Linked DNA regions of Macaca fascicularis. The protein of the gene in region 1 interacts with the protein of each later gene in a biochemical or structural test. Links are inferred from orthologs where the notes say so. Each region holds a gene or a part of one and is shown in the gene's direction. Other genes may lie near its edges. The genes, in order: MDC1 and CDC27.

Region 1 (11,328 bases):
GGTGCATGCCCATAATCCCAGCTACTTAGGAGGCTGAGTCACGAGAATCCCTTGAACCTGGGAGGCGGAGGTTGTGGTGAGCTGAGATTGTGCCATCACACTCCAGCCTGGGCAACAAGAGTGAAACTCTGTCTCAAAAACAACAGAAAGAAAAGAAAACGTAGGCGGGGCACAGTGCCTAATGCCTGTGATCTCAGCACTTTGGGAGGCCGAAGTGGGCGGATCACATGAGGTCAGGAGTTTGAGACCAGCCTGGCCAACATGGTGAAACCGTGTCTCTACTAAAAATACAAAAATTAGCTGGGCATGGTGGCAGGTGCCTGTAGTCTCAGCTACTCAGGAGGCTGAAGCAGGAGACTCATTTGAACCCCAGAGGCAGAGGTTGCAGTGAGCCAAGATCACGCCACTGCACTCCAGTATGGGTGACAGAGTGAGACTTCCTCTCAAATAAAAAAAAGAAAATGTGTATATAGACTGGGTGCGGTGGCTCAAAATACAAAAATTAGCTGGGCATGGTGGCATGCACTTGTAGTCTTAGCTACTCGGGAGGCTGAGATGGGAGGATTGCTGGAGCCTAAGACACAGAGATTGCAGTGAGCTGAGATCACGCCACTGCACTCCAAACTGGGCGACAGAGCAAGACTCAATCTAAAAAAGAAAATGTGTTTATATACACAATGGAACAGTATTCAGCCACAAAAGAGAATGAAATCCTGTCATCTACAGCAACATGGATGAACCCTGAGGACATTATGTTAAGTGAAATAAGTTGGCACAGAAAGACAAATATTGCACGCTCACTCATGTGGCAGCTAAAAACATGGATCTCATGGAAGTAGAGAGTAGAATGATGGTTACCAAAGGCTGGGAAGGGTAGAGGGACCGGATGCATAAAGAGGTTGGTTAATGGATAGAAAAATACAGTCAAGATTGAATGAATAAGTTCTAGTATTCAGTTCCACAGTAGGGTTACTATAGTTAATAATTTATTGTATATTTCAAAATAGCTAGAAGAGATTTGATATGTTTCCAATACAAAGAAATGGTAAATGTTTGAGACAGTGGATATCCCAATTATCTTGGTTTTATCATTGTACACTGTATGCATGAGTCAAAATAGCACAGGTACCCCATAAATATGTACCATTATTATGTGTCGATGAAAAAGAAAATGTGGTATATATACACAGTGGAATACTATTCAGCCTTTAAAAAGTAGGAAATTCCAGCCAAGCATGGTGGCTCACACCGGTAATCCCAGCACTTTGGGAGGCTAGGATGGGCGGATCACTTGAGTCCAAGAGTTCAAGACCAAGCCCCATATCTACAACAAATACAAAAAATTAGCCGGGCGCATTGGCACATGCTATAGTCCCAGCTACTCAGGAGGCTGAGGTGAGAGGATCTCCTGAGCCCAGCAGTTGGAAGTTGCAGTGAGCCAACATCATGCCACTGCACTCCAGCCTGGGTGACAGAGTGAGACTGTGTCTCAAAAAGAAAAAGAGAGAGACTATTCAGGGAACTCTCTTATTAGGCTATGATGTTTTTATTTTTTTATTTTTTTGAGACAGGGTCTCTGTCACTCAGGCTGGAGTGCAGTGGTATGAGGAGAGACTATTCAGGGAACTCATATTAGGCTATGATGTTTTTCTTTTTGTTGTTGGGTTTTTTTTTCTTTTTTTTTTTTTTTTGAGACAGGGTCTCTGTCACTCAGGCTGAAGTGCAGTGGTATGATCGCAGCTCACTACAGTCTTGACTTCTGGGGTTCAAATAGTTCTTCTACCTCAACCTCCTGGGTAGCTGAGACTACAGGACTACAGGTCCCTGCCCCCACACCTGGCTAATTTTTTTGTATTTTTTGTAGAGATGGGGTTTTGCCATGTTGTTCAGGCTAGTCTCAAACTCCTGACCTCAAGCAATCCTCATGTCTTGGCCTCCCAAAGTGCTGGGATTACATGTCTGAGCCACCATGCCCGCCCAAGGCTATGACCTTTTTGAGACAAACGTTAAATGTTGTAACTACCACCCTTATTCCCAGCTTTCCTTTAATAACCTGTTGAGATTTATTATTTATGAGTTTATCTAAATCTTTTCTCATCATATTTATTATGTCAACCTGTACTTCCCTTTCCCTCCTCCTCTCCTTTTCTCTCTCTCTCTCCCTCTCTTTCTCTTCCTTCCTCCCTTCCAGGTACCCTAGATGAACCATGGGAGGTCCTGGCTACACAGCCATTCTGTCTGAGAGAGTCTGAGGACTCTGAGACCCAGCCTTTTGACACCCACCTTGAGGCCTATGGACCTTGCCTGTCTCCACCTAGGGCAATACCAGGAGACCAACATCCAGAGAGCCCAGTTCACACAGAGCCAATGGGGATTCAAGGCAGAGGGAGGCAGACTGTGGATAAAGGCATGGGTATACCAAAAGAAACAGCAGAGAGGGTGGGCCCTGAGAGAGGGCCACTGGAGAGAGAAACTGAGAAACTGCTACCGGAAAGACAGACAGATGTGACGGGAGAGGAAGAATTAGCCAGAGGGATACAGGACAGAGAACAAAAACAGTTGTTAGCTAGAGACACCCAGAGACAAGAATCTGACAAAAATGGGGAAAGTGCAAGTCCTGAAAGAGATAGGGAGAGTTTGAAGGTAGAAATTGAGACATCCAAGGAAATACAAGAGAAACAAGTACAGAAGCAGACCCTTCCAAGCAAAGCATTTGAGAGAGAAGTAGAGAGACCAGTAGCAGACAGAGAGTGTGAGCCAGCTGAGTTAGAAGAGAAGGTGCCCAAAGTGATCCTGGAGAGAGACGCACAGAGAGGGGAGCCAAAGGGAGGGAGCCAGGACCAGAAAGGGCAGGCCTCCAGCCCAACACCAGAGCCTGGGGTGGGGGCGGGGGACCTTCCGGGACCTACCTCAGCCCCCGTACCTTCTGGGAGCCAGTCAGGTGGAAGGGGATCCCCAGTGAGCCCCAGGAGGCATCAGAAAGGTAAGTGAAGGCAGAGGGGAACTCAAGGTGATACACAGGCCTCATAATAATCAACCCCTGGGCAACCAGCTGCCTGCAACTCAGCCACCTTTGTGTTTATTTTCTGTCTAGGCCTCCTGAATTGCAAGATGCCACCCACTGAGAAGGCTTCCAGGATCGGAGCTGCTGAGAAGGCTTCCAGGGTGAGAGCTGCTTTTTCTACCTCCTACTCCACAAGTCATCTCTATATCCTCTCCAACGCTCCTTCACCTAGCCTCACTTTAATCTATTCCTTTCTCATTATTCAGTTTTCTTCCATTTTTATCACTCCTTGATTGGCTTCTATTCCTTTATCCTCGGCACCCATTGTTTTCCATATCTGTTTCCCAAGTTGTATCTCCTACCTGACTCCGAAGAAAGATCCTTCGTGTTTCTTCTTTCTTTGCCCCAGCCATCCTTTTCATTACCATCATCCATGTGTGGAGAACACTATAGTAGCATTATGGAGACAGGTCCATGGGGAAAAGTAGCTTCCCAGGTATATCCCAGTCTAATGGAGGAGAGATCATAGACAGAAAGGGAAATCCAGTGAGCATATTTTTTTTTTTTTTTGAGAAAGAGTTTCGCTCTTTTTACCCAGGCTGGAGTGCAGTGGCGCGATCTCGGCTCACCGCAACCTCCACCTCCCGGGTTCAAGCGATTCTCCTGCCTCAGCCTCCCGAGTAGCTGGGATTACAGGCATGCGCCACCACCCCTGCTAATTTTGTATTTTTAGTAGAGACGGGGTTTCTCCATGTTGGTCAGGCTGGTCTTGAACTCCCAACCTTAGGTGATCCACCTGCCTCGGCTTCCCAAAGTGCTGGGATTACAAGCGTGAGCCACCGCGCCCAGCCCAGTGAGCATATTTTTTGTTTTGTTTTTGTTCTTTTTTGAGACAGAGTCTCTCTCTGTCACCCTGGCTGGAGTGTGCAGTGGCGTGATCTTGGCTCACTACAACCTCCATCTCCCGGGTTCAAGTGATTCTCCTGCTGCAGCCTCCCAAGTGGCTGGGACTACATGTGCGTGTCACCACGCCCAGCTAATTTTTATGTGTTTTTTTGAGACAGAGGCTCACTCTGTCACCCAGGCTGGAGTGCAGTGGCGCGATCTTGGCTCACTGCAACCTCTGCCTCCCAGGTTCAAGCGATTCTCCTGCCTCAGCCTCCCAAGTAGCTGGGACTACAGGTACCTGCCAACACACCCGGCTAATTTTTTTTGTATTTTTAGTAGAGACGGGGTTTCACTGTGTTGGCCAGGCTGGTCTTGAACTCCTGACCTCGTGATCCACCCACCTTGGCCTCCCAAGGTGCTGGGATTATAGCCGTGAGCCACTACGCCTGGGCGAAATCCAGTAATCCTATCTAACCATAAACAAGTATCAAGAACAGTATCCAAGTTCTATCTCTTTTCTCCACCTCCTCCCCCTCACTTGCTTCTGTTTCTCCCTAGGGCGATCAGGAATCTCCAGATGCTTGTCTGCCTCCTACAGTGCCTGAAGCCTCAGCCCCACCCCAAAAGCCCCTTAACTCTCAGAACCAGAAACATCTTGCACCTCAGCCCCTTCTTTCTCCCCTTTCACCTTCTATCGAGCCAACCATTCGTAAGACCGGGCAGGATAGGAGTCAGGAAGCTCCAGAGACTCCCTTGTCCTCAGAGCTGGAGCCTTTCCACCCAAAGCCTAAAATCATAACTCGGAAGTCCTCCAGGATGACACCCTTTCCAGCTACCTCTGCTGCCCCTGAGCCCCACCCTTCCACCTCCACAGCCCAGCCAGTCACCCCCAAGCCCACATCTCAGGCCACTAGGAGCAGGACAAATAGGTCCTCTGTCAAGACCCCTGAACCAGTTGTCCCCACAGTCCCTGAGCTCCAGCCTTCCACCTCCACAGACCAGCCTGTCACCTCTGAGCCCACATCTCAGGCTACTAGGGGAAGAAAAAATAGATCCTCTGTCAAGACCCCTGAAGCAGTTGTGCCCACAGCCCTTGAGCTCCACCCTTCCAACTCCACAGATCAACCTGTTACCCCCAAGCCCACATCTCAGGCCACTAGGAGCAGGACAAATAGGTCCTCTGTCAAGACCCCTGAAGCAGTTGTGCCCACAGCCCTTGAGCTCCACCCTTCCAACTCCACAGATCAACCTGTCACCCCCAAGCCCACATCTGAGGCCATTAGGAGCAGGACAAATAGGTCCTCTGTCAAGACCCCTGAACCAGTTGTCCCCACAGTCCCTGAGCTCCAGCCTTCCACCTCCACAGACCAGCCTGTCGCCTCTGAGCCCACATCTCAGGCTACTAGGGGAAGAAAAAATAGATCCTCTGTCAAGACCCCTGAAGCAGTTGTGCCCACAGCCCTTGAGCTCCACCCTTCCAACTCCACAGATCAACCTGTCACCCCCAAGCCCACATCTCGGACCACTAGGAGCAGGACAAATATGTCCTCTGTCAAGACCCCTGAATCAACTGTCCCTATAGCCCCTGAGCTCCCACCTTCCACCTCCACAGAGCAGCCTGTCATCACTGAGCCCACATATCAGCCTACTAGGGGAAGAAAAAATAGGTCCTCTGTCAAGACCCCTGAAACAGTTGTGGCCACAGCCCCTAAGCTCCAGTCTTCCACCTCCACAGACCAGCCTATCACTCCTGAGCCCACATCTCAGGCCACCAGGGGTAGGACAAATAGGTCCTCTGTCAAGAGCCCTGAAACAGTTCTCCGCACAGCCCCTGAGCTCCAGCCTTCCACCTCCACACACCAGCCAGTCACTGCCAAGCACACATCTCAGGCCACCAGGGGCAGGACAAATAGGTCCTCCGTCAAGACCCCTGAACCAGTTGTCTCCACAGCACCTGAGCTCCAGCCTTCCACCTCCACACACCAGCCTATTACCCCCGAGCCTACATCTCAGGCTACTAGGGGAAGAACAGATAGAACCTCTGTCAAGACTCCTAAAATAGTTGTGCCCACAGTCCCTGAGCTCCAGGCTTCCACCTCCACAGACCAGCCTGTCACCTCTGAGCCCACATCTCGGACCACTAGGGGAAGAAAAAATAGGTCTTCTGTCAAGACCCCTGAAACAGTTGTGCCCACAGCGCCTGAGCCCCGTCCTACCACCTCCACAGACCAGCCTGTCACCCCCAAGCCCACATCTCGGGCCACTAGGGGCAGGACAAATAGGTCATCTGTCAAGACCCCTGAATTAATTGTCCCTATAGCCCCTGAGTTTCACCCTTCCACCTCCAGAAGCCAGCTTGTCACCCCTGAGCCCACATCTCGGGCCACTAGGGGCAGGAAAAATAGGTCCTCTGTCAAGACCCCTGAACCAGCTGTCCCCACAGCCCCTGAGCTCCATCCTACCACCTCCACAGACCAGCCTGTCACCCCCAAGCCCACATCTAGGGCCACTAGGGGAAGGACAAATAGGTCCTCTGTCAAGACTCCTGAACCAGTTGAACCAGCAGCCTCTGATCTTGAGCCTTTTACCCCCACAGACCAGCCTGTCACCCCTGAGGCCATACCTCAGGGTAGTCAGAGCAAAACACTGAGGTCTTCCACAGTAAGTGCTATGCTAATTCCTACTACCCCTGAATTCCAATCTCCTGTCACCACAGACCAGCCCATTTCCCCTGAGCCTATTCCTCAAGCCAGTTGCATCAAGAGGCAGAGAGCCACTGGGAATCTTGGCTCCCTCACAGCTCCCATTGACCATAAGCCTTGCTCTGCACCCCTGGAACCTAAATCCCGGCCCTCAAGGAACCAAAGATGGGGAGCAGTGAGAGCAGATGAATCCCTTACAGCCATTCCTGAGCCTGCCTCTCCCCAGCTTCTTGATATACCAACTCATGCCTCCCAGATCCAAAAAGTGGAACCAGCAGGTAGATCTAGGTTCACCCCAGAGCTCCAGCCTAAGGCCTCTCAAAGCCGCAAGAGGTCTTTAGCTATCATGGATTCACCACCACATCAAAAACAGCCCCAAAGAGGGGAAGTCTCCCAGAAGACAGTGATTATCAAGGAAGAGGAAGAAGATACTGCAGAGAAGCCAGGGAAGGAAGAGGTGAGGAGAGGGCTAGGACCACAAAGCTGGGAAAAATGGCTTTGGGGCTCTGAAACTCCCACCAAGATTTTTCTCAATCTCAGGATGTCATGACTCCAAAACCAGGCAAGAGAAAGAGAGACCAGGCAGAGGAGGAGCCCAACAGAATACCGAACCGCAGCCTCCGACGGACCAAACTTAACCAAGAGTCAACAGCCCCCAAAGTAAGAGACAAGGGCATGAGACTTTGTGGGAGACAGAGATGAGGGGAGGATGCAAGGAGACCTGGAGGATTGTAGAGATGGGTGCTGATGGTGTGGGTTGCTGTGACCACCTCAGGTCAACCCTTCCACAGGTGCTCTTCACAGGAGTGGTGGATGCTCAGGGAGAGCGGGCCGTGCTGGCACTGGGGGGAAGTCTGGCTGGTTCAGCGGCAGAGGCTTCCCACCTGGTCACTGATCGCATCCGCCGGACAGTCAAGTTCCTGTGTGCCCTGGGGCGGGGAATCCCCATTCTCTCCCTGGACTGGCTGCATCAGGTGAGAGGCCAAGGGATGATGACAGACCAATATAGTGGCAAGACTGCTCACGTAGTACCCTAGAAAGTTGTGGAAGGGAAGAGGCGTTACAGGAAGACAGGGGCATTAGTGAGCCAGAAGCCTGAATGATTTAAAAGACATTTTGTGAGCTCTCTCTAAATGCTAGGCAGCAGAGCTGGGTGAGGGGCTGGGCTGAGCTTTGATGCTGACTGCTGCTGTCCTTAGTCCCGCAAGGCTGGTTGCTTCTTACCCCCGGATGAATATGTGGTGACCGACCCTGAGCAAGAGAAGAACTTTGGCTTTAGCCTTCAAGACGCACTGAGTCGGGCTCGGGAGCGAAGGCTGCTGGAGGTGAGAGGCTATCTCTTGACCTGTGCTTCAGCCCTCCCTCCAGTGCTTCCCAACCTACAATACCGTCTCCACCATTTTTTCTCTTAGGGCTATGAGATCTATGTGACCCCTGGAGTCCAGCCACCACCACCTCAGATGGGAGAGATCATTAGCTGCTGTGGAGGCACATACCTACCCAGCATGCCTCGGTCCTATAAGGTATGCTTAGGATGTTCTGGGTCTGGATGAGGTGGCAGTAGCAGTTAAAGAGGTGGCTGGAATGGCAAAGGTTGGAGGGGAAAAAAATGGAGGTACAGAAAAGAATATAGAGTAGTGAGAGGGTGGGGAAAGGCCTATGGTATAGAAAGGGATAGGAATGAGGGGACAGATCTGCTGATACACCCATATAACAATCACCGAGATTCAGCAGCTTAATTTAGATTATGCTACTTTTGGTCCATCTATCCCTTTTTTCCTTTGATTTTCTTTGCTGAAGTATTTTCTTTTTATTTTTCTTTATTCTTTCTTTTTTTCCTTTCTCTTTCTTTACTGAAGTATTTTAAAACAAACTGCCAATATTATATTATTTCTTCCTACATACTTAAATATACATCTCTAAGAAATATGTGCATTTTGTTTCATAATCACAATGCCATTATTGATCCTAAACAAAATTAACAGTAGTTTATTGGTCATTTGCTCCCACTCCATTAATAAAATTTCCCCCATTGACTGAAAAATCTCTCTATGCAGTTGTTCAAATCAGGATTCAAATAAAGTCTACATACTGCCACAACTATTATCCTCTTAATTCTCTTTACTCTACAGCATCCCTTAACCCACCCAGCTATTTTTATGCCATCAATTTCCTGCAGAAACTGGGTCACTTGTCCTTTAGAATGTTCCTCAGTGTGGAATTTTGGGTTTGCCTCCTTGTTGCATCATTTATCTTGTTCCTCTGTATTCCATATTTCCTGGAAACTGCAGATAATTGTAAAAGCTTGAATGAATTCAGGTTCATCTTTCTAGCAAGTGTGTTTCTTTTTTTTTTTTCCTTTTTTTTTTTTTGAGACAGAATCTTGCTCTGTCGCCAGGCTGGAGTACAGTGGAGTAATCTTGGCTTACTACAACCTCCGCCTCCTGGGTTCACGCCATTCTCCTGCCTCAGCCTCCTGAATAGCTGGGACTACAGGCGCACGCCACCACACCCAGCTAATTTTTTTTTTTTTTTTTTTTTTTTTTGAGATGGAGTCTTGCTCTGTCACCCAAGCTAGAGTGCAGTGGCGCAATCTCAGCTCACTGCAAGCTCCACCTCCCGGGTTTACACCATTCTCCTGCCTCAGCCTCCCAAGTAACTGGGACTACAGGCGCCTGCCACCACGCCCGGCTAATTTTTTTGTGTTTTTAATAGAGACGGGGTTTCACCGTGTTAGCCAGGATGGTCTCGATCTCCTGACCTCGTGATCTGCCCGCCTCGGCCTCCCAAAGTGGTGGGATTACAGGAGTGAGCCACTGTGCCTGGCCTAGCAAGAGTATTTCATAGACAGTATACGGTGTGCTTCACTTGGCTTCATATTAGGAGGCATTATTTTAGTGATGCTAAGACTGGTTAGTGGGTCCTGAACCCATTTCTAGGATTCTTTTTCACCCCTGATTTTGTCTTTGCTCTGTCTTCCCTAGCCTCAGAGAGTTGTGATCACATGCCCTCAGGATTTCCCTCGTTGCTCTGTTCCACTGCGTGTTGGGCTGCCCCTCCTCTCACCTGAGTTCCTGCTGACTGGAGTGCTGAAGCAGGAAGCCAAGCCAGAGGCCTTTGTCCTTTCCCCTTTGGAGATGTCATCTACTTGAGAACTCCGCTACCCATTTCCCTCCCAGACCACGAATTAGAAGATATTTGGAAGAAAGAACTCAGGGCGTTAGAAAGGATTGGGGTATATTGATACAACTTGTCCTGGAACATGTGTGGGACCAGAAATCTTTATGAATAAATGAAAAGATAAGGCGTTTGGAAGCCACAGGTGGTTGTTGTTTTTGTTTTGTTGTTTCTTTTTTTTTTTTTTTTTTTGGTTGAGACAGAGTCTCGCTTTGTCGCCCAGACTGGAGTGCAGTGGCCGGATCTCAGCTCACTGCAAGCTCCGCCTTCCGGGTTCACGCCATTCTCCTGCCTCAGCCTCCCGAGTAGCTGGGACTACAGACGCCCGCCACCTCGCCCGGCTAGGTTTTTGTATTTTTTAGTAGAGACGGGGTTTCACCGTGTTAGCCAGGATGGTCTCGATCTCCTGACCTTGTGATCCGCCCGTCTCGGCCTCCCAAAGTGCTGGGATTACAGGCTTGAGCCACCGCGCCCGGCCCTGTTGTTTCATTTTTATGGCCATTTTATTTGTAGTTTTTTATTTGTATAGATTTAGGGGATACAAGATTTCTTACATGTATATACTAAATGGCCATTTTAAAATTAGTTTCATGCTCAGATGTCATAAGTGGCAGGTATCTTTAGCTAGACTGTTGTAGTTATTGCTCAATGCCACTCATGGTGTCCTACCTCCTATTTGGAAACCATCTCTATTGTTTTCTTACTGAGATTCTTTGGAGTCAGGAACTTGAAGGGATGCTTGGAGTGAGTAGATTTGAGGGTCCAGTTATGGAGTGCTACTAAAACATTTTCTTCTCTCCTGGCCTCTGGAAGCATCTTTAGCTTTGACTTTGGGCAAGTCTCTGTACTTTTCTGGCCTGCTTTTCCAGGATTTATAAAATTAGAGCTTAGGCTTGACCTCTGTGATAAATAAATATTCACTCTGTGCCTTATGGTGTAGTGTAGTTTTTTAAAATGTCTAGGTCTCAAGACACAAACTTTAAAAAAAAAGTCACAGACTTATATTTAATTCATCATTATTTTCTATTTAGGGCAAATTATAACATTTCTTAAGGGTTTTTTTTTTTTTTTTCTTGAGACAGGGTTTCATCTCTGTCACCCAGGCTGGAGTGCAGTGGCACCATCTCAGCTCACTACAACCTCCACCTCCCAGTTCAAGCAGTACTCCCACCTCAGCCTCCTAAGTAGCTAGGACTGCAGGCACACACCACCATGCCTGGCTACTTTTTTTTTTTTTTTTTTTTTTAATTGTTTAGTAGAGACGGGGCTCTGTTAAATTTTTGTATTTTTGGTAGAGACGAGGTTTTGTCATGTTGCCCAGGCTGGTCTCTAACTTCTAACCTCAAGTGACACACCCACCTCAGCCTCCTGAGTAGCTGGGATTGCAGGCACATGCCACCACGCCTAGCTAATTTTTGTATTTTTAGTAGAGATGGGGTTTCACCATGTTGGCCAGGCTGGTCTTGAACTCCTGACCTCAGGTGATCCACCTGTCTTGACTTCCCAAAGTGCTGGGATTACAGACATGAGCTACCATGACTGGCTTTTTATTTTTTT
Region 2 (11,827 bases), on another chromosome or scaffold:
TATGTACTTGCTTTATTGTATTTCTTTAGATATGAAGGACTTTATTCATTATTCTTAAAGCCATTTTAATACCAACATACCTACCAGATAGGCCACATAAATCAGCCTTTACTTGCTTCAAGAAGCCCAAGTTCTAATCTCATCAGTTGTCTGGACTATGACATATATATAGTTATAGCCATTTTTGTGGGGTTTTCTTTGTTTGTTTAATTAGGCAGCCTTCTAATCCAAAGTAGGACCAGAGAGACTCCCTCTTTTGTTATTATTAGTATTATTATTATTATTATTATTATTATCATTGTCATTATCATTATTATATCAGGCAGCCTCCTGAGCCACAGTAGACTCAGAGAAACTCCCAGTTACAGGCATTTTGGGGTATGAGCTTCACTGAATTATGAGGCCTAATTTGATGCATGGACTAGATATAGATATGTGACTGTATGAAAAGGGCATAAAGAAAAGTTAAAGGGTACATGTTCTCAGGATCTCCTGGGACTGTGTCATGGGCCATTTATTAGTCACTTGAAAACAAGAAAGAAAAGTTAATGATTGCTTCTGAGATTTTCTGGCTCCAAAATGAAAATCAAGGGGACCATTTCAACATCTCTAAAACATTGCTAGCCATCACCTTATTTAATGTGTTGTGCTGATATTTAATCATTTAAATCTTAAGTCTTTAGGGTAAAAGAACTCCGATGCTGTGTTAGATACTATTTCTCAATGAATCCTTGTAATTAGATCATTGGGGGTGGGGATAGGCATGCTAGTTGCATGAAATGTTGATAACAATTATAATATGCAGTCATAGCAAGAAAACGTATCAGTTCTGAATTGGGTGTGTTGTAGCAGTGAAGGAGGATTGGAGTCTGTCATCTTGAAGGTTAAGATTTCGTTAAAGGACAGGCACAGCGGCTCACGTCTGTAATCCCAGCACTTTGGGAGGTTGAGGCGGGTGGATCACAAGGTCAGGCGTTCAAGACCAGCCTGGCCAACATGGTGAAACCCCATCTCTACTAAAAATACAAAAATTAGCCAGGTATGGTGGCGGGCACCTGTAATCACAGCTATTTGGAAAGCTGAAGCAGGAGAATCGCTTCAACCTGGGAGGCAGAAGTTGCAGTGAGCTACTGCACTCCAGCCTGGACGATAGAGCAAAACTCCATCTCGGGGGGGAAAAAAAGATTTCTTTAAAGGCTGGGCATGATGGCTCACGCCTGTAATCCCAGCACTTTGGGAGGCCATGGTGAGAGGATCACTTGAGGTCAGAAGTTCGAGGCCAGCTTGCCAATATGGTGAAACCCTGTGTCAACTAAAATACAAAAATTAGCCGGACGTGGTGGCACGCACCTGTATTCCAGCTGCTTAGGAGGCTGAGGCAGGAGAATCGCTTGAACCCGGGAGGCGGAGGTTGCAGTGAGCCAAGATCATGACACCGTACTCCAGCCTGGGTGACAGAGCAAAACTCCATCTCAAAAAGAAAAAAGATTTCTTTAAAGTAAGGCCAGGCGCAGTGGCTTACGCCTGTAATCCTAGCACTTTGGGAGGCCAAGGCAGGTGGATCACCTGAGGTCAGGAGTTCAAGACTAGCCTGGGCAACATAGTGAAACCCCATCTCTACTAAAAATACAAGACAAGGCCGGGCGCGGTGGCTCAAGCCTGTAATCCCAGCACTTTGGGAGGCCGAGACGGGCGGATCACGAGGTCAGGAGATCGAGACCATCCTGGCTGACACGGTGAAACCCCGTCTCTACTAAAAAATACAAAAACTTAGCCGGGCGAGGTGGCGGGCGCCTGTAGTCCCAGCTACTCGGGAGGCTGAGGCAGGAGAATGGCGTAAACCCGGGAGGCGGAGCTTGCAGTGAGCTGAGATCTGGCCACTGCACTCCAGCCTGGGCGACAGAGCGAGACTCCGTCTCAAAAAAAAAAAAAAAAAAAATACAAGACAAAATTAGCCAGGAATTACAGGTAAGCATCTGTAATCCCAGCTACTTAGGAGACTGAGGCAGGAGAATCACTTGAACCCAGGAAGCAGAGGTTGCAGTGAGCAGAGATCGCACCACCGCACTCCAGCCTGGGTGACAGAATGACAGTCTGTCTCAGAAAAAGAAAAAGATTTCTTTAATGATTCTCAGAAGTGGTCTGGGAACTTCTGGGGGTCCCTAAAATTATTCTAAAGAGTCTTAGAGGTCAGAGCTATTTTTACAATAATGTCTTGACATTATTTACCTTTTTCAGTCTTCATTCTGTCCCAAATGGACAGTAGAATTTTCCAAAAGCTACATAATATGTGATATCAAAACAGATTAAATGGAGGAGATAGATGTGAGAATCTAGCTGTCTTCTACTAACAGAGACTTGCAGAAATGTTAATGCCACTCTTCTCAATGACTTTTTGTTGTTCTGAAAAATTATATAGTTATTTTTCATTAAAAAATAAATCACTGGGCCAGGCACGGTGGCTCACGCTTGTAATCCCAGCACTTTGGGAAGCTGAGGCGGGCAGATTACTTGGGTCAGGAGTTCAAGACCAGCCTGGCTGACATGGTGAAACCCCGTCTCTACTGAAAATACACAAATTAGCTGGGTGTGGTGGTGCATGCCTGTGATCCCAGTTACTCGGGAGGCTGAGGCAGGAGAATTGCATGAATCTGAGAAGCAGAGATTGCAGTAAGCAGAGATTGTACCACTGCACTCCAGCCTGGGCGACAGCGAGACTCCTTCTCAATAAATAAAAATAAATAGATAGATAGATAGATGACCAAAAGCAAGGATTGTCACCACCTGCATATTTCACAAAGAGGGGTGTGTGTGTGTGTGTGTCTGTGTGTGTGTGTGTTTTCAGTGTACTAGAGTGCCTGCTATTTCTTAGTACTTACTTTAAGTATGCGTTTTATTTTCACAACAATAAGAACTAATACAATAAGGAAGTATATTGATTAAGATTTAGTTAGCTTTTATGAAGGTGATTTGGGAAATCAAATAAAAAAATTGCTTGGTCAAAACTTTAAAAATTTTTGATACTTTAAGGTTTTTCTTTGCCTTTTTCAGTCTGCTTTACAAGAACTTGAAGAATTGAAACAAATTGTTCCCAAAGAATCCCTCGTTTACTTCTTAATAGGAAAGGTAAAGACTGGGGCCGTGGTCCCAAACAGTGACTTTCACAGCAAATATTGACATTTTATAAGAATAAATTTAATACTTACTGTACAATATCTATTGAGCAAATTCAACTAAAGCTCCAAACTGAGTGCTCTGGGAATAACAGATTTGGTTCTAACACTTGAGAAAATGATATCCTAGCTGGGCACGGTGCCTCACGCCTGTAATCCCAGCACTTTGGGAGGCCTAGGCAGGTGGATTACCTGAGTCAGGAGTTTAAGACCAGCCTGACCAACATGGTGAAACCCGACCTCTACTAAAAATACAAAAATTAGCTGGGCGTAGTGACTCATGCCTGTGATCACAGCTACTCCGGAGGCTGAGGCACGAGAATCACTTGAACCCGGGAGCGGAGGTTGCCGTGAGCCAAGATCACGCTGCTGCACTCCAGCCTGGGCAAGAGAACAAGATTCTGTCTCAGAAACAAAAAAAAAAGAGAAAGAAGAAGAAGAACATGAATGGCACTGTGTTGTCTTGATTAAGAGAAATGGCTTCTGAGAGTCCCAAGGCCAGACTAGTCAGTTTTTTACATACTAGACCCCCATATGCCAATTAGTTAAGGTGCCTGTAGACAGTTGTTAAGAGTTGATATAACTCAATTTAAAATCACTGTAAATGAAAGTTAATTAAGCAATTTATAATCCATTTAATCCCATTATCATTGTTCCAGTCAGAGTGATATTTATTGGAAACTTACTACCTGAAAGATAGAAGCAAGGAATTCTGAAAATAATATCTGATTATATGAAAAGGAACTCAAAAGCTGGTATGAGTTCATCTGTAGGAAGAAAATGTCCTACCGTTAGAATAAGTTTAGATCACATAAATCAGGAGCCTAGTTTAAATTATAAATATTTAGAACTGTAGAGACTGGGCACTGTGGCTCACGCCTGTAATCCCAGCACTCTTTGGGAGGCTGAGGCAGGTGGATCACCTGAGGTCAGGAGTTTGAGACTAGCCTGGCTAACATGGCAAAACCCTGTCTCTACTTATAAATACAAAAATTAGCCAGGAGCAGTGGCGGGCACCTGTAGTCCCAATTACTCAGGAGACTAAAGCAGGAGAATTGCTTGAACCTGGGAGGCAGAGGTTGCAGTGAGCCAAGATCGCGCCATTGCACTCTAGCCTGGGCAATAGAGCAAGACTCCATCTCAAAAATAAATAAATATATAAATATTTAGAATTTTATAGTTGAAGCTCACAACTTAATGAAAAATGTAGTATTGCTGTTTATTTTTAGGTTTACAAGAAGTTAGGTCAAACGCACCTCGCCCTGATGAATTTCTCTTGGGCTATGGATTTAGATCCTAAAGGAGCCAATAACCAGATTAAAGAGGCAATTGATAAGCGCTATCTTCCAGATGATGAGGAGCCAATAACCCAAGAAGAACAGATCAGTAAGTATCACACATATGATTTTGAGTATTTAGAAAGTTACCTTTTGCATAAGGATTTGTAGGCTACTCCTTTATTTTATTTTTCTAACCGTGGTGTTACCAAATGAACTTTTAGGGAAATTGAACAGGGTGATATAATAACAAAATGCATATAAAGTCAGATAATTAGTCTCTGTTCTGGATCTAGTTTGCTGTGTGACTTTGATAAATTCATTGCTAATTTTTACCTGGGCCTCAATTTATGTTTGAATATGTAACCAGTAGTGTTTTATTTGCTTCCTAAGAATGTAGTCTTTTAAATAAGAGAATAGAGAAATTTCTGACAAGGTAAATTCTGATTAGATGCCTTTGTTCCAGAAAACTTGGTGAAAACCTTTAATTAAAATTATAAGCCACGGGGCCAGGCACAGTGACTCAGGCCTGTAATTCCAGCACTTTGGGAGGCGGAGGTGGGTGTATCACCTGAGGTCAGGAGATCGACACCAGCTGACCAACATGGTAAAACCCCATCTCTACTAAAAATACAAAAGTTAGCTGGGCATGGTGGCAGGCACCTGTAATCCCAGCTACTCGGGAGGCTGAGACAGGAGAATCGCTTGAACCCAGGAGGCTGAAGTTGCAGTGAGCTGAAGTCATGCCATTGCACTCCAACCTGGATAACAAGAATGAAACTCTGTCTCAAAAAAAAAAAAAATTATAAGCCAGGCATGATGGCTTGTGTATGTAATCCCAGCTACTCAGGAGGCTGAGGTGGGAGGATTGCTTGAGCCTAGGATTTCACGACGAGCCAGTGAGACCCTGCTTCTAAACAAATTTTTTAAATTAGCTGGATGTGGTGGTATGCATCTATAGTCCCAGCTACTTGGGAGACTGAGGCAGGAGAATCATACCACTTGAGCCCAGGAGTTTGAGGCTGCAGTGAGCTATGATTGTGCCACTTCACTCCAGCCTAGGTGACAGACCGAGATAGATGATTGATTGATTAATAGATAGATAGATAGATAGACCCCATAAACCTTTTGAAACTGAAGGTTATAGTCTATGTTTCTGTGGACTAGCAGGAAGTATTCTTAAAGTGGAGTCAGTGATTGGAGGTTGGGGAAATGTCAATTTTTTTTTTTTTTTAATGTCTCAGAGAACTAGCTAGTTGTAATTCCTAGGGCAGGAATAAGGAACCCATTAGGGAGAGGCAGTTTTGGTAGTTAAAACCTTAAAAGTAAAATGCAGTAAGCTAATGTCAGACCTATTACAAAGTTAGGAAACTTGAGTTGCATTTTATTAAAGGATATGAGGATTTTTAAGGGCCTTTATTTAGGGTTTTATCTCTCTGAATATAATACAATTTTTCTTGTTTTCGTGAACCAACAGGATATGTTTGTCAGAAACCTTACTGTAGACTTTTGTTTTATTTTTAAAGTGGGAACAGATGAATCCCAGGAGAGCAGCATGACAGATGCGGATGACACACAACTTCATGCAGCTGAAAGTGATGAATTTTAACTTCTGGAAATCGGACTTTTACAACTGGATGTGTGACTAGTGCTGACATGTTTCTTGTCCCTCCATATACTGAGTCTTTACTCTTGAGCCGGCGGTGTCATCATCCATCACTTATACCATGAGTGTGCCACTTTCATTGGACCCTGACTGTATACGGAATGAAAGGCAGTGCAATATTTAGCTGCTAACAAGACTGGCTCTTTTACCAGTATGAATGACAATTTATGGGGGGTAGGGTGGGGACTTTCTTTTCTGTTTTTCTTTAATCTCCCTTTGTTGGAAAGTATCATGAAAGGAAGAGTTATGTTTTATCTTGAAGGAACCATTAGATATGGAAAATAGTGATGAACCAGAATTTCTTGGTTGCTTTCTCAAAAATTTGTTTTTATTTGGTTCTGTTCCTGATAAACAGAGTAACTGACCGTCATTTCTAGGTTCTTCAAGAATGGTGTTTGCAAGTGCCAGATGGAACAATAAAAGACGTTGCCTATAACAGTAACTTGATTGCCAAGGAATGTAAATTACCTTCAACTTGCAGTGTCTCCCATAAACAAATGTAATGGGCATATTGGGATTCGTATGTAGGAATCAAATATCCCTCCATACAGTGTACACTTATTCTTGGCAAGAATGCTTTAATGTCTAACCAAGAATTTTAATTTATTCATCTTGCTTCAAAGTGTTGATCATTGTTGTCTTGGTATTGCAGACTTTAAAATTGGTTCATACCATATTGCCTCTTCTCTTTGAGCTCTGTGGGATCACCTTTAACATTCAGAGATGATAGAGTGGTTCCCCACTGAGAAGCCAAAACAAGGCCCTTAATAATCCCTTAAGTTCACCATATCAATCAGAATGAGAACACTAAAGTGTAGAGACTTTAAGAGATCATGATAGTGAAAGCCTTAATATAATCAGAATTGTACCATAACCTGGAATCTATATTTGTTCAAAACATTATCCCTTTGACTTTTCTAAGTGTTTGCTTAAGCAGAGTGTAAGAATGTGCGGTTATCTTTGGTTGAGATCCTTTCCATTCTTTTTGACTCTCTGCTTCAGATTTTTTCAGTAGTGTGAGTCACCAAAACATTTACTAAGAATTGGGTTTAGGATATTGGAAATTTTTAGCTTGGGGGAAGAAACATTCTTAAGAAGGAGATAGGTTCTCTTCTGAGTTTGTCATAATATCAGTTGGTGTCTTTGGGAAATGGCCACAATTTTAAGAATTTAATTATGCATATAAATTGATAATTATTGGAATTCCACCATAACAGATTTAAACAGTCTTAAATTGTTTATCTCCTTTATTGTAATGTATTGAAATTTTAGAGAAACTTTAGTTGTTAACATTTTATTAAGTGCCAATGTCAGAATATAACAAATTATAGTTTCTTATGAATGACAGGCCTACAGTTATTATTTTGGATTATTTGATGAAGGACAACCTTACCTGTATTTGTTAGTCAAGCTGTGAAAATAAGGTGGATTACAAAAGATGTGAAAAAAATTTTAGCCTGTAGACTCAGTAATTTTCTATAATTTACTGTTAATCTCATTTGAATATGGATTAGGTACAATTATAAATTAATTCAAGTCAGGGTGTTTAGGTATCAGGTGCCAGAGAAATATTTAACAGATTTCCCTACCTAAATTTATGTATATGTACTGTCTAAAAAAATACTTTTTTAAAAAAAGGAACAGTTGGGAGAAAATAAATGTAATGAAAAATTCCCAGAGGCTAGCACTTGGATTCTAACACATATGCTATTGTATTATCCATTAGTTCTGTAATATGTAATTTTAGATTCTTTTATATTTTTAATTGGCAAAGCACAAGGTGCTGTGTAACAGTGTCATTTAGAGTTTTATAGAAAGCTTCAACCTGAGTTCTGCGTTATAAAGCCTGGAGAAAGCTAAGCTTAGAACATAATTTGCTGAAGTATAATTATCTTTTTATAGTAGGAATTTATGTCCTGTGCCAGAGGTGAGAGTCTTTCTGGTACTGATTTTTTGAGACCAAGGATAAAAGGATCGTTTTGTAAGACACGCCATGGCAATGGCTGGCTGGGGAACAGTTTCCGCCCAAGCTTGGCCTATTTTATTTTTCCTCATACCTACTTTTAAAGTCATTAGGTATCTGAAGCCTTATTTCCCACCTTGTAACACTTTCTGGCTTTTACAGTTTCTTTTTTTGTTTTGTTTTTTGCATGGAATGGGGATCAAACAACCAGAAGAAGAACACATTTTGATCAAGCAAAATGTTTGTTTCAAACATCAGAAGTTTATTTTACAGAAATTAAATTAAGTAGTTTGACATCCTTTTCTCTGTTTCACACATATATTAGGTTGGTGCATAAGTAATTGTGGTTTTTGCCATGACTTTTATGGCAAAACCTGCAGTTACTTTTGCACCAACCTAATACATATATATGCACACACACTTGTTCAGAAGCTATGCTGTGGCCTTGGATTTGTTTTTCCCCTTGGAAATGGTTCTTAACTCTGGGATTTTAGAAGGTTAGAATATTTTTTCAAGAGAACAGTGGTACTCAAAATAATGAAAGGTGGTCCCTACATTTTCTGTATTCATCACTTAAAATTTTTGATTTTTCCAAGAACTACAAGTAACATTTGAACCATGCTGCTGTTGTACCTTAAACAAAAACTCAGTGATAACCAGTATTTAGTCTATTAAAAATGCTCTTTTTGAAGAAAAAAGTTTGGAAGTCTCTGATTAGCCAGAGTATAGTATGAGTCTTCACTGAGAAATATGGTGACCCATTTTCTTTGTGAAAACCTGGGAAAATGCAAGTGTGGGTGTGAAGTGTGTGTTCTGTTTGCATTGAAACAATGTAATTTTGTGTCTTCTTTTTGCTTTAACTGACTTATTTCAGAAATTGTACAGTCTTGAGGGGGAAAGTCTTTTCTGTTAATATATTTGCAATTCATTAAAGGATATGGAAAATCCAAATAAGTTACTTTTGAAAGCAATTTATAATCAAGTTGTTAAAGCTATATGAAAGCTGTGCCATCTGTATTTTCATAAGAAGGCACAGAAAAATAGAGATACAATTTTATGTTTCACAAAAATCTAGAGCAATGTTTATCTAATTTTTTAAAACTTACACTCTTTTAATATATTTATATTTTTAAACGGTCATACTCTTTTTTAGTATTATTTGGAATATCAAAATAAATACTATGACAAAAACAATGGTAATTTTTAGAATACCTTTTTTCAAACTACAGAAGCCCTGTTGCCAACCAGCAGCTGTGAATTTGCAAGTCAACTGCTTATCCTTTGATCACATGATTTCTGAAATTTCTTCAAAAGGGACACAAAGGTTTTTTGTTCCAATTAGAATCTATTTAAAAAGGTCAGGATCTGAAAGAAGATGTAGAAACTGAATTTTACTCTAATTTGAAAATCTTTTTTTTTTTTTTTTTTTTTTTTTTGGTATCTTGGAGAAAGTACAGAGAGCTGAAGGGTTTTATTCAGACTTGAAGAAAAGGCAGTAACAGGGAAAAACACATGAAGGTGGGGTGAGCTGGGCAGTTCCAAGGGGAACAACACAGACCTCATAACCTTCCCTAGGACCTGCCATTTAATGTCAGCTGAACAAGGATAAACAGCAGCTTAGACATGGAACTATTCTTTGGCTTGTTTAGCTGACAACTCACGGTTCATAAAGGTTCAGTACAGGTTTTATTTTTCTCTGTAAGTGCAAACTTTGTTAAAAAGCTGTGTTTGTTGAGATCCTGCTCTATGGATTGTGTTGCTTGCTTTGTGGATGGTATTTTCAATTCTCAACAGTAGAAGGTAGGTATTACTTCATTTTACAAAAGAGAAAACAGGCTCAGCTATTAAATGATACAACTGGGCACTTTTGGCATTAGTGTATGTTCAGAATGTTATATTTTAGTTTTGGACTTCCTCTGGAGGTTTCAAGTCATGTTTAATGGTAACTGTAAGTTGTCTTCTCTAGCATTTTTTTTTTAAGACAGTCTCGCTCTGACCCCCAGCCTGGAGTGCAGTAGTATGATCATAGCTCACTGCAGCCTCGAACTCCTGGACTCAAGCAATCCTCCCACCTCAGCCACCCAAGAAGCCAGGACCACACATGCAGCACCACACCTGGCTCATTTTTTATTTTTTATTTTTGTAGAGTCAGGGTATTGCTGTGTTGCCCAGGCTGATCTCAAACTCCTGGCCTCAAGCAATCCTCCCACCTCAGCCTCCCAAAGCACTGGAATTATAAGCGTGAGCCACCTCACCCAGCCCTCTCTAGCTTTTTTTTTTTTTTTTTTTTTTTTTTTTGTGGGGGGGACAGAGTTTCACTCTTGTTGCCCAGACTAGAGTGCAATGGCGCGATATCCACTCACCACAACCTCCACCTCCCAGTTTCAAGTGCTTCTCCTGCTTCAGCCTCCCAAGTAGCTGGGACGGCAGGCATGCACCACTGCGCCTGGCTGATTTTTGCATTTTTGGTAGAGGCAAGGTTTCTCCATGTTGGTCAGGCTGGTCTCAAACTCCCGACCTCAGGTGATCCGCCCACTTCGGCCTCCCACAGTGTTGGGATTATAGGCATGAGCCACCATGGCCAGCCCTCTCTAGCATTTTTTTTTTCTTTTTTTGAGATGGAGTCTCACTCTGTCACCCAGGCTGGAGTGCAGTGGCACAGTCTCAGCTCACTGCAAGCTCCCAGGGTTCACACCATTCTCCTGCCTCAGCCTCACGAGTAGCTGCGACTACAGGCGCCCCCCACGACGCCCGGGTAATTTTTTTTGTATTTTTAGTAGAGACGGGGTTTCACCATGTTAGCCAGGATGGTCTCTATCTCTTCACCTCATGATCCGCCCACCTCGGCCTCCCAAAGTGTTGAGATTACAGGCATGAGCCACCGTGCCCAGCCTAGCATTTTTAAATATAAACTCTACTGTAGGCTAACATCCAGGTCCAGGTTTTACAGAAAAAACTTGATTATTAATCATCCAGATCTGTTGTAGTATAGTCCTTTGTTAGGGCTTTGATCTATGTGCTGCTTCGTTACTCTTCTCCCACTGAAATTGGAATATATTTTCCCTCTTTGAGTGACTAGGATTTGCTTTAAAGTAGAAAGTTATAAATCTTCAATTTTCCTTCAGTTCTTGCATTTTTATTAACAATTTCCTCTATCACAAGCATTGTTTTTTTGGAGACAGGGTTTTGCTCTGTTACTCAGGCTGGAATGCAGTGGCACGATCACAGCTCACTGCAACCTCTACTTCCCAGGTTCAAGGGATCCTCCTGCCTTAGCCTCCCAAGTAGTTGGGACCAACAGGCATGCCCCACCACTCCCAGCTAATTGTTGTATTTTTGTAGAGATAGGGTTTTGCCGTATTGCTCAGGCTGGTCTCAAACTCATGGGCTCAAGCAGTTCGCCCGCCCCAGCCTCAAGCATCCTTTTAATATTCAACACTGTTAAGGAAAACTGTAGGCCAGACGTTGTGGCTCACACCTTTAATCCCAGCACTTTGGGTGGCCAAGATGGGCAGATTGCTTGAGCCTGAGATAAGAGACCAGCCTGGGCAGCATAACAAGACCCCATCTGTATTAAATTAAAAAAAAAAAAAAATGGGCCGGGTGCGGTAGCTTACACCTGTAATCCCAGCACTTTGGGAGGCCAAGGCGGGTGGATCATGAGGTCAGGAGATCGAGGTCATCCTGGCCAATATGGTGAAACCCCGTCTCTACTAAAAATACAAAAATTAGCCAGGCGTGGTGGCGT

Evidence for each region.
Region 2: the proteins of MDC1 (region 1) and CDC27 form a complex in vitro, tested with the Homo sapiens proteins (2 studies listed by BioGRID). The link is inferred for Macaca fascicularis from reciprocal best matches to the Homo sapiens genes MDC1 and CDC27.

What each region holds. Positions count from the first base shown.
Region 1 is NC_088378.1:141,946,265-141,957,592, forward strand, and holds the end of MDC1 (mediator of DNA damage checkpoint protein 1), read left to right. Parts: intron 1-2,191; coding exon 2,192-2,983; intron 2,984-3,094; coding exon 3,095-3,165; intron 3,166-4,450; coding exon 4,451-7,051; intron 7,052-7,134; coding exon 7,135-7,254; intron 7,255-7,369; exon of another isoform or gene 7,370-7,385; coding exon 7,386-7,568; intron 7,569-7,793; coding exon 7,794-7,919; intron 7,920-8,006; coding exon 8,007-8,117; intron 8,118-9,578; coding exon 9,579-9,746; 3' UTR 9,747-10,703; downstream 10,704-11,328. UniProt on the Homo sapiens protein: Histone reader protein required for checkpoint-mediated cell cycle arrest in response to DNA damage within both the S phase and G2/M phases of the cell cycle.
Region 2 is NC_088390.1:68,094,752-68,106,578, reverse strand, and holds the end of CDC27 (cell division cycle protein 27 homolog), read left to right. Parts: intron 1-3,051; coding exon 3,052-3,126; intron 3,127-4,402; coding exon 4,403-4,559; intron 4,560-5,976; coding exon 5,977-6,059; 3' UTR 6,060-9,030; downstream 9,031-11,827. UniProt on the Homo sapiens protein: Component of the anaphase promoting complex/cyclosome (APC/C), a cell cycle-regulated E3 ubiquitin ligase that controls progression through mitosis and the G1 phase of the cell cycle.